Drosophila melanogaster: one gene and its partners. The gene in region 3 interacts genetically with the main gene of each other region. Each region holds a gene or a part of one and is shown on either strand. Other genes may lie near its edges. The genes, in order: Syx4, CASK and Nrx-1.

Region 1 (3,754 bases), on a different chromosome or scaffold from region 3:
GTTTCTTCTATTAACTATTTCAATACTCAATAATAGTAAAAACTTGTATGAATTCTGAAGTTGTGTTTTGTATACACTTCGATCCTTAAACTCACCGGATTGAGTATGTCATCCACATTCGAGCCATACTGCGTCATCTTTGAACTGGACCGATCCTTGGGTTCGGTGCTGCTGTTATTGTTGCTGCAGCTGTGAGAGTTTTGGCTAACGACACTGTAGCTATTATTGTTACCGCCGGTGTTGCCAATGATGAACTCCGTGGTTCCACTGTACACGTTCAAAAGCAGTGAACCGTTCGACGACGAGTTCGACGAGTTCGTGCTCAATGAGCGCTGGAATTAGTACAGCAAAAATGAGAAGAAAAAAAAATAAATAAATAAAAATAAAATAGGTCCATGCGATCCTAACGAACTGCAGGGAAAAACTGAGAAAAAACTAAATTGAAACTAACAACTTTGGTTGAGTTTATTTACGTTTGTGTGTTCACAATCTGGCGCGGTGTAAATGAACTATAAAAATGACTTCGGTACTGAAATTCACTTGGTGCTAAAAGTTTGTCGGCGGAAACGCGGGGTTGCCCCGTAAGTGTGATGTGTGGCCACATTATCGTCGTTATCTCTGGCCGATCTGATAAATGCCATAGCGAACACCCACCAAACCCCCTTGGCTCACAAGTCGAAATAGTGCCAAAAGCGCCAACAGAAATGTGAGAGATTGGGCCAATTGTAAAGAAGGTGGCAGCACCTTGGTCAGAATGTGTTTCAACGTGCCGCAAAAAAAAAAAAAACTTTGATTAGGATTACTTTTTACCGAGAAAAGTGGAATCCTTTTCCTGGCAAATACCACCAAATGTATTTCATCGTGTTAAGTAGATTTTATTCGTATTGCGGTTTGAGTGATGCCAAACCACTGTGCTTCAAACTAATTAGCAGTTACCTCATCCCAACCTCCCAACCAACCACCCACGTTTCTAATATTTTCTTACCTGCAAAAGCTCGGGCAGTCGATCTTTACCCATTTCTGCAACTTGGACTGCCTTTGGTTTGAATTATGCCAATTATATGCCAAATTTATGCCAATTCCTTGAATTCCTTTCCAGTACTCCAAAATGTCCACTTTATATCCTTTACAGCAGCTTCTGAGCTTTGTTCCTGGTTTGTTGTTGCCGTTGCCTCCAACAGCTGTTCGCGAATGGGAAAATTTGATTGAGAGCGCAGGAGAGAGCGAAACCTGCTATCAAAGCTTATCAGCGCACAAGTTTCTGATAAGAGCCGCCTAATATTTACCGTCTGCCCTTCGGAAAGCGACAGGGCGGGGTGGAAAGTCATGGAGAGAGAGAGAGAGAGAGAGAGGGACAGTCAGAAAGGCCTAAACACAGATTATCACCTATCACATATTTGCCATTTATTGGCGGCTCTTTGCTCTCTTACTCGCTCTTTTGTTGCACACACACACAAACACAAAAAAGAAAAAAATTGGATTATGGGAAAAACTAGCTTTATGTATTTTTAAAATTTAACATGTAAATACATTCGGCTACATTTTATTCGATTTATTGAAAATCAATTCCTTTGTCTTCACCGCGCCGCATACGTTTTCGAACTAAAAAATCGACGCCGGCACAAAAACGCAGAGCCTCCCAGTCGCGTCGAGATTTCTTTCAATTCAAAAAGATTAAAGACAGCAAACACTCTGGCTACAGCCTGGGCCAAAATAATAGGCATTTTATGGTATAAATTCATTGGGCCTAATCCAAATTCAAATTAGTTATGAAAAATTCAAAAATGTACATTAAATGCAGCAATAGAATTGTGATTTGAATATACGAAGGTATTCGATTTCATGAACTTCGGTGTATTTGATATGTACGTTCATGTGCTTTAGCTGGAGAGAGATAAAGATAGAGACTCGTACTACATTATGTGTAGTTAGTGGCGATCTACATTTTTTGTTGTCTCCGAATAAAATGAATAAATCGTCTTTGCCACCGAAATGAAAACTGGTTAGGCGGCGGAGAAAAATGTGTTAATTGTTTTTATTATTATTTCTACTCTGTTGTATGGTAAACATTTCTACATTGCTCTGCCGCCTTTTGCTGTTGTTGTCGCACTTTTCACGCTCCATGTTGCCGTTCAATTGAAATAAAAGACCGAGTAAGAGAAATAAACCTGCGACGAGAACGTTCAAAAGTCACTTGCGCTAATTAGTTGAACTTTTTTCTATTGCTGGCTTTGTACTGTGCCACCATATGCATTTACAGGGTATCAGCGGGTCGCATCTATGTAGGTCAAGGGTGTAAATTCATTGTCAAGCGTTGTACTCACCACTTTTTACAACTTGATCCCTTCAAAACGCTTGTGTAAATTATACTTCTTAAGCACAGTTCAGTTGCTTGTTTCTTCGAAAGTTTCCCATAATAAATTTATTGCTATTTTGCTTACTGGGTAGCTAGATGGTCTACCCGCTTTATATTAGCAATTCTTGCGGTTGCAAAACGAAGCTTATGAACTGCCCTCAACTACGTCAACAACAATAACAAGAAAAATAAAACCATCAACACCAGACAGTTGCGAATTTCCATTTCTCATTTGGTTCGCAATTCTTCTCAAGTTGCCATGCCATTTAAAAAGACGGCAGAAAAGAATCGTGTCGCGAATTCTTCCCTCTCTAATGATTGTATAAAAAGCATACGTATACGTGATATACTGATACTTTGAATTGAACTGCATGTAGCGCCATAAGGTTAAAACATTTAAATCGATTTGGAAATTCAATGTGGAATATGTGAATTCGCGAATACCCTTTAATACACCCTTTAAACATGAACATTTACTTTTTATTGCAAAATACCAATTAATTGAGATTGAGATAAACTGATGTTTCTGAGCTTGAACTTGTTACTTTATTTTTGCTTTATTTTTTTTTTGTTTGGCTTTTAAAATGAGTCATATAAGTCATGTTTTTTTTGTGACCCCGTCGTGGAATTCGAACCGCCAATCGCTTATCAGATACATTCGGAAGGTTTTGTGAGTTCCAATATCATTTTATTAGTCGACGATTTCTTGCCAACTCGTTATTAAGAGGCATTCAATTGCTCGAAAGTCGTGAATCCGCTTTTATTTACAAACGATCGTATAGAACTCTGACTCAATGAAGATATTGTCACTTTTGTGCTGTAAAGTTAAAAAAAAAAACTGCATAACAAAGCAAAACTCAATTTAGGTGGAGTGGCTATACAAAGCAGTTTATTTTTATCAATCCATGGGATTCATTGAGTTTAGGTAATGAGAATACAAAAAGATGAAATTCTTGTTTTTCCCGCCTTTATTTGCATTGCGGACTGTAAGTCTAAAATGTATTCCAGGTTATTATTATCTATTCACTTATTTTTTTAGTGCAAATTGTTGGCAAAACAGCAACATATTCATATTCCCTGCGTTTAACACCCGCTTTTCACCTTTTTCCATTGCTTTTCCATAAACAAAGGGGTCGGAAAAGCGGAGATATTGTTATAGGCAGTCAAGTTTATTGTGCCCGTTTTTTGTTAGTTTTCTCGGCTTTCGCGCTTTCCTTTGTTTACAATTTATTTTGTCATGTGTCGAAAATTGCAAATTTATGAGTTTTTGATGAGTCTTTTTGTGCGTTGTCCCCACCTTAGTTACCACTTCTGTTGTTATTTTTGTTTGTTTTTATTTGGGTCAGAGGCTCACGCACAAAACGAGAAATGGAAACTGATGGAAAGCGCTGGCGGTGC
Region 2 (3,754 bases), 650 kb from region 3:
CTTCTGGGTGGGTGGGATGGGCATACGGGGCGGATACATAATACATAATGAGATAATGGCCATGGATGCCAGCTGTCAGCAGCAGAATCGGCTAAAGATATAGCCGGTGGGGCGCTAACTTACTTGCCAATGACCTCGCACAGCTCGTAGACGTCGTCAAAGAGAATTTCGTCTTCGGTCATTTTGAATAATTGATGAATTGATGCCTCGACTCAATTGCTTTTTCGAATATTGATGAGTTGTGTCCTGTTTTTCGTGTCCGTCGCTTTTCCTTCTCCCGCTTCCTTTGCCCGTCGTCGCCTACTGCCCTCCAAAAACGAACATAAAAAATAAACAAAAAACTAAGCGGCCAGTGAGCAACTCCAAAACTTTGAGCGTTTTCCTTCGGTTTCTTCTGATGATTTGTTGTTAATGGTATTGTTATTGGTGTCGTTGATTCGTTGTTGCCGCTAATGCTGTTGCTGTTTTCGTAGCTGCTGATGTTAAGAATGCATTTTGCGCTGGAAAAATATAACAAGTGAAAATGGTGAAGGTGAGTTTTTCCATTAGTTGAAGGCCGCTAATCAGATTTATTTGGCGTCTAATTAAGAAACTGTCAAGAAGCTTTGCGAGAATTCTGTCAAGCAGATGACGCAAATATAAACAAATTTGTTTACATTTGTGAAAAATTATACACAGATTTTAATCAAGAAAATTTGCTAATAATTTCCTAAATATTTTGTAATCTTACTTACAAACTAAGTTAAGTTTATAATGCTATCTGAATCAATCAAATTGAAAATGCCACTATAAAGTTGGGCTGGCGTGTTGACACTTGTGTGATGGGAACACTTTTCGAGGGACCACTGTTAATGGTGTCGCAACGGAAATGAGACTGGCCTGGCCGAAACTTGTTTGATATGTCAATCACACTCATATCAGGTGTAAACCCCAATCAATTACAGGCGGCACACACCACAAATGCACAAAATGCTGTCGAAAGTGCCAATGGTAGGAAGGAAGTATCCCCGCACAGTGGGCGTTGTGAATTTTGCAACGGAAATGATGGCCAGCTGAAAAGGTAAACAAGCCAGCAGGACCTGCAGAATGTGTCCTTTTCGAGGGTCTCGTTCCAAGGATGTTCGCGGGGAAAGTTCGCAGGGGGGGAGGGTGGATGGGAGGCGCTACCTTTGTCTTGGCCATACTATTATTATGCCTTTTGGTCCAGCACTTGAACATACTTTTCAAAACTTTGATGGCACTCCAAAAATCCGAAAGGAGAAAGCCAGAGAGCGAGAGAGTGTGAAAGAGAGCGAAGGAGTGCGAGAAAGATGGCGAGCATGGATGTAAAGTGCGCCGGCGCCGTGGGAAATTCGTGTAAAGCACCAAAATTGTAATCGTAAAAAATATAAGCTATGCTTTCTGCCCGGGCTGCATGAATATTTAAATGTGCAACAATTTACGATGCACACACGAAATGTGGAGAACTGAGTTGCGACTGCGAGAGCAGGACGGAGCATTTGCGGGGAATCCCCGCGAAGGACTTTCTGGTAGTCATGTTTAATGCAGAGCTGCGCATGGGGCGCGGTGTTTTTGGCTCGGTTTTAGTATTCGGGCTCGAGGGTTTTACCTTGCTCGTGTGCCGCTGTTGTAAAATGCCTTGACACTTTCCACACGACCTTACCGCCCACCTCACTAACGCACCCACCCACACCCACATACACTCACTCACTGACTATGTGTGTGCATTTGGCCCTGCTTTTAGGACTTTTTGAGACTCTCGAGTGTCGCACAATTGGCAAATTGATTCTTTGTCTAAAGGATTTGCATTGCTCATGTTCCACGCCCCCTTATCAACGACACCGCCCCCTTTATCGGCCACACATAGAGGGGGCCACACTCACACCACACACACACACACACACACGAACACACACTGGCACGAACAATTCGCATATAGTTTTATGTACGAAAACCCACCGATTTGGCAGCGATTCTTCAACGGCCGCTGGTTTTTGGCATTTTAGCGAATCGCATTAGCACTCGATTGTCTAGGTGCGCAGCACGAATCGCCTGGCAAGCTGATTGCATTGGGTAATTTACTAATTTTAACTTAAAACAAACACGGCCCGTGAGGAATTGATTGGCGAAGAACTGGTTGCAACTGAACCGGTTCGCCGCGAACTAGAATTCCAGGGCTGCAGGTGCATTGCTGGATTGGTTCGGAACTTGGAGTCGGTTCACGGCTCTCCCATTGAAAATTGATACCAACCTGTGTTCATTAAAAATATTGTTTTTAAAATAAATTTAAGGGTGGTACTGCAGCAACTTACTTCGTTAATCAAAGTTTTAATTCAAGAAAGTTTGTTTGAATCAAGCAACTGGTTATACTGGAAAAATACCAGAAACCCGTTGGTATCTAAGCTTTTCTGTCATTTTGTTATTAACTTTATTTGGTCTGTTAAAATTTGCGCGGAAGTTTTTGAAAAAAAGTTTTGGGGACGAGAAAGTATAATTTTGGAATATTGTTAAGAATATAGTCATTCATAACGACACAGATGTTTTATCGAAATTGAAAATAAATACTATTAAAACTTTAATTTTGTTAAAGAAAAAGTAAATTATATTTTCCTGCTCCTTTCTCTTCGGTAGCATTTTGCATATGCTTTTATTTGCTTGACTTATCAGCAAAAGGCAGTTGTTTTCCTTTGATAAATACCCACTGCATGCTTAATAAATTTACTCGAAAGTAAGATAATTCATTGCACACTGAATTGTTTCCGCTTGAGTGAAGTCAAATGGAGGTAAATATTTATGCGGTACGCAAGCAAGTGCATAAAGCTATTGTGGAATATTGCACATACGAATTTCGAACACTTTCCAGTTTTATCGGCAATACGATGCCAATTACCATTCATCAACTTGAAAGTAAACATTTTCCCCTTCAAAAATGATTCACGATTTATTTAACTGGACTAAGCCACCAGTGTGTTAATACAGGGATTTTCACTACAGAACCTTTATCAACTTACTTTATCGCCAGGCTCGTTCACAGCTCATTGAATATTACCATATTATTTACATTACTTCTCTTTCGCGCCATTCAACTTTATCTATTATTATTATTATTACCCCACAGCATTTGATAAACCCATTAGAATAAATTAAGATCTTGGCATTAATATGCCAGGCACACACACAGGAGTCCCTCAACCGAAGACGAGGAAAACCCACACGCACTCCTCGAAAATAAAAAATAAAAACCGTAGGTGCGTAATCTTTAAATCAGTTGGAAGGGGCTGGTGACGGGGGCCAATACTCAAACATAAACATCATCAATTACAAAACCTCGAACAGCAACAACAACAACAATCACCGCCAAACGCCCAACGACAACAACACACAGATAAGATGCAAGAGAAACAACAAGCCAATAAGGGAGCAACAAACACAAAACCATCAGCCAAATGAAGAAAGACCTGATGAAAATGAACTCAATATGGCCATATTACTACGGGGGATATAGTCGAAAAGGATAAGCACCAACAACCATTTCGAGATGAGCAGCAAAAACAACAAGTGTTAATGATCAGCAATAACAACAGTGGTCACCCACTAATGTCCACCTTTCGATTGTAAAATAGCAGCCAATTAAATTATACGCACTATGAAATATTCAGAAATAATAAAAAAGTAATTAATTTTTTTTTTAATTTATACAACTTCTTTCATAATTTGTGAGATCAATCAAATAGTTTGGGTATAAACTAAAAAG
Region 3 (3,754 bases):
TTATCAATATCATTTAAATAGAATATAAAAAGTTGTATTGTGTATATCAATGACTAATGGACTCACCCTGAGCGGCCTTTCACGGGCGGGCAGCTCTCCGTGATCGCAGGGCACATCGCCGCACTTGATGTCGCGCTGCTGCTTGATCTCCTGGCGCCTGGTGGAGCCGCCCGGCTGGTCCGCGTAGACCAGATTGCGGATGGCGCCACGGAAACGCGGTTCGAAGATAACGGATGGCAGGGCGAGCAGGGCCAGCTTGCTGCTGTACCAGTTGGGCATACCGCCCACATAGACGTCCGAGTTGCTCGCGAACTTGCCGAACTGGAACTCCTTCCCCTTGGTCGATCGCTGCTGGGAGACGCCGTCCACGATGAGCGATGTCTGCTCATCGTTCCGCAGGACCTGCACCTTGTGCCAGTGGCCGTCGTGCAGTTCCCGACCCACGGTGATGATTTGAGCTCCGCCACCAAGGTTATATCTCAGCCGCAGTGCTCCTTCCACCAGCTTCAGTTCGAAGAAGTCGTAGGTGCCGCCGTCGTCGGTGTAGAGAACCAATCCGTTGGGCTGTTCCGTTTTGAACTCCAGTTCGAGGGTCCCATTCAGTCCGGTGTACCACTTGCGGAAGGTGTAGAAGGAGTTTTGCGATCCATCTAGCTGGAATCCGGCGCTGAGCGTCACGAAACTGGCCGCCAGACTGACCAGCAGGGCGCTGACGATGAGCACGCGGTAGGAGCGACGGTATTCCACGACCACGGGAGGCACTTGCTCGCTTCTCCGCCGGCGGCGAGCCTTGTTGAACCGCAAGTCGGGGGATTCAAAGGCGGAGGTGGAGGTGCGCTGGGCGGGCAGGAGCCTCAGCTCCGCCTGATTTCGATTTCGCTGCTGATCCATGTCCATGCTTGGCCGTGTCCTGGCTGTCATGGCCGCATCAGCATAGTTATCCTGATATGTTGCACTATGTGGCGCCTTCATTCACACGCACGGTGGCACTCGGGCTTACCCACACAGAGGCACCTACGCACGTTGCGCGCGTAAACGTAAAGTGTCCTTCTCCCTCTCTCTCTCTCTCACTCGCTGTGTTTCTGTCGCGTATTCCAGTCCTTGAGCGCGAGCTTTTCGCGTGTCCTTGTGTTGGTGTTACTCGGCAATCCGTTTTATCCGCGCCTGCCAAGAGAGAGCGTAAGAGCGCGCGAGAGCGAAAGCTCGGCCACGCGAAGTTGGCTGCGGATGTTAACGGTACACGTCGACTGTTAACGGCACTGCACCGATTATTGCTTATGATTTCGCCTGATTTTTTTGGTCCTTAATGTTCAGCACCTTCAGTTTTCGGCATTTTGTATACTTGATTTGCATAATTTTTGGCAATTAAATTCAAAACGGCGCATATTTTGCATCGATACTTTGTCAGACAACCGTTTCTCCGACCGAGTCGGCTGTATTAGTAATACTGGGGGTTATGGTTGGGCCAAAAGCTCGCCGGATACCCCTGCCACCGCAGTTTGTGGCGCCCACGAGCGCTCCATCGTACATGTACATACTAAAAATCGGAAAAAATTTTCACTGCATATCGCAAATGTAGGCGAAAATTTTTCTAAGCACCTCACAGCAAGTGCCCCTAAAATGGGCGCTTTACTGCGGTTGATTCCACAGCAATCAGTTATTTATGCGTATTGATTGAACTATTGATTGGATACGAAATTAGTTGCAGAGACTGCACACAGATTTTTCAATTACACAATTATTCCTTTGAATTTGCACGATATTCTTGTCGCTCCTGCTTTATGTAACTTTTCGGGCTGGATTTTAGCGCGACGCGTCCTTTTCGTTTTTGTTGGTTGGTTGAATTTATTTTTGCAGATTTTTCGGTTCAATTTCGAGGGATACAAAAATGTTGTGTGTCGAAATTTGCTTAGCAGCGCCTTCCGCTGCTTTTAGCTCCGATATCGATCCGCGCTGCATCCACGACAAGACTGAACTGCAATTTCAAACTTAATTTCTTCGCACTGTTTCCAATGGATAACGAAAGCTCCGCCAGCTTATTCACAAAAAGCCACTGGTGCGGTCTAGGCGACTCGAAAATGGCACTACAATCGAACTGGACAAAGGAGTTTGTACCTCACACTACTGATTTTACATTTAGACAAGTTAAAATCGTTCAGAATTACTGGAAATCTTGAATTTAATGGTTTATATTGGTACTTTGTTGATTTACCCGAAAAAGTGTGCTACGGAAAAGGAAAGCACCGCACGCTTTGAGTGTAGTGTGTGGGAATGCCAAAAATTAAAAGCTCGCTTACTTCGCACGAGGCATGCATATGTGTACTACTAACACACAAACGCACACATAGACACCAGCTGCCCACTCACACATGCGTAATAAGCGAATAGCACGCAGGTTCATAACCTGCACCACTAAAGCGTATTAGATGCCACATTCACATGGATACACACATATGCATGTTCAGCTGTGTGCGTGGGTGTCCTGTGGCCGCACGCACACTCACACACACCAACTCAAGCTGACACCCCCCCGGGCTCACTATCTCCGAGACGACCCGTGTAAATTCCTTGACATTTACTACGCAACTTCGACATCTCGGAGTCGAATTCGATTTGCATTTGCATTGGCAGTGGAATGTGATGTCCCTTACTCTCGATTGTGGGTGTATGTCCTGCCTCTGTCAAATCCCATCACCCTGCTCCTTCGTCCTAGGAGAGCAATTGCAAGGCCGTCGCCTCCATTAATCGTCGTCGCAGTCCAGGCGAACACATTAATTTGAGCACACGAATCACGCACTGACCATTACAGCAGGGACCAGGATCCTGCTATTAAGCACTTACGGTTTTTAATAATATTTTAACGCACGCTAAAGGCTAAACAAATGCCAGCACGTGCTGTCCATTGTCCTTCGGAGTCGTGACGTTCAAGTGGACTAACAAGGACTAAGATTGGGAATGCCAAAAGCTGGGGGAAGAGCGAAAAGCTTAAAATCAAACTGAGCGGCAGCTCTTGAACTTTCAAGGGCTTTTAAACTACCATTATTTTAAAATCTGTGGAGAGTTCGGCATTGTCAAGTAATATTCTTCAAAATGAATGGAAAAATCTTTTAAATTTCAGGAACATTCTTAAAAATGCAAGTGCATCACCCAATGCCTAAATATCAATATGAAAATATTTTTCAAATTATTAAAAAATTAACGATTCTTTTAAAATTAGTTTTTTGGTATATTTACTTTTGATTTAACGGTATATGGCATCATCGCACCTACAGCCACACTAATTCGATCGTTTACTTACAGCTGTTCTTATCAATCAGCTGTTATCAACGGATCTTTATCAAGTGCACTTTACAAGGCGTCGTGTGTAAAGATTAGAATTTGCCAAATATTCCTCTCTGGACATCTGAAGAGCCCTTGAGAAGCAGCTAAGTTTGTTGCCATACTCCAAAATCCCCGTTAGATCCCGCTTACGTAATGCTGGGCAATCTGTGCCGGCTTGTGGGTGCCCGTTCCCCGATCACCAGGCGCTTGCTGCACACGGAGCGGAAAGTTCGTGTGAATGGCTCAGATTTGAACATTGTGGAGAGCGGCAGTGGGGAGCGGAGTCTACTCCTGATGCCGGGAGCACTGGGTTCCTCGTGGACCGACTTTAGGCCCCAGATCGAGCAGCTGCCGAAACTGCTGCCGGGTCACACCATCATCGCCTGGGATCCGCCGGGTTATGGCAAATCAGTGCCGCCGCAGCGCAAGTTCG

What was found.
Region 1: of Nrx-1 (region 3) and Syx4, changing one enhances a phenotype caused by changing the other (phenotypic enhancement), as found in Drosophila melanogaster (one study listed by BioGRID).
Region 2: of Nrx-1 (region 3) and CASK, changing one enhances a phenotype caused by changing the other (phenotypic enhancement), as found in Drosophila melanogaster (one study listed by BioGRID).

The regions. Positions count from the first base shown.
Region 1 is NC_004354.4:2,742,466-2,746,219, forward strand, and holds the start of Syx4 (syntaxin 4), read right to left. Parts: upstream 1,612-3,754; 5' UTR 1,019-1,611; coding exon 986-1,018; intron 494-985; exon of another isoform or gene 452-493; intron 333-451; coding exon 96-332; intron 1-95. UniProt on the Drosophila melanogaster protein: Potentially involved in docking of synaptic vesicles at presynaptic active zones.
Region 2 is NT_033777.3:21,820,524-21,824,277, forward strand, and holds the start of CASK (CASK), read right to left. Parts: upstream 2,152-3,754; 5' UTR 1,960-2,151; intron 501-1,959; 5' UTR 183-500; coding exon 124-182; intron 1-123.
Region 3 is NT_033777.3:22,467,703-22,471,456, reverse strand, and holds the start of Nrx-1 (neurexin 1), read right to left. Parts: upstream 1,980-3,754; 5' UTR 973-1,979; coding exon 67-972; intron 1-66. Other genes in the region: CG5377 (uncharacterized protein), read left to right, coding at 3,475-3,754. UniProt on the Drosophila melanogaster protein: Neuronal cell adhesion protein involved in synapse formation, development of synaptic active zones, synaptic regulation and visual function. Plays a role in cell adhesion between the pre- and the postsynaptic cell.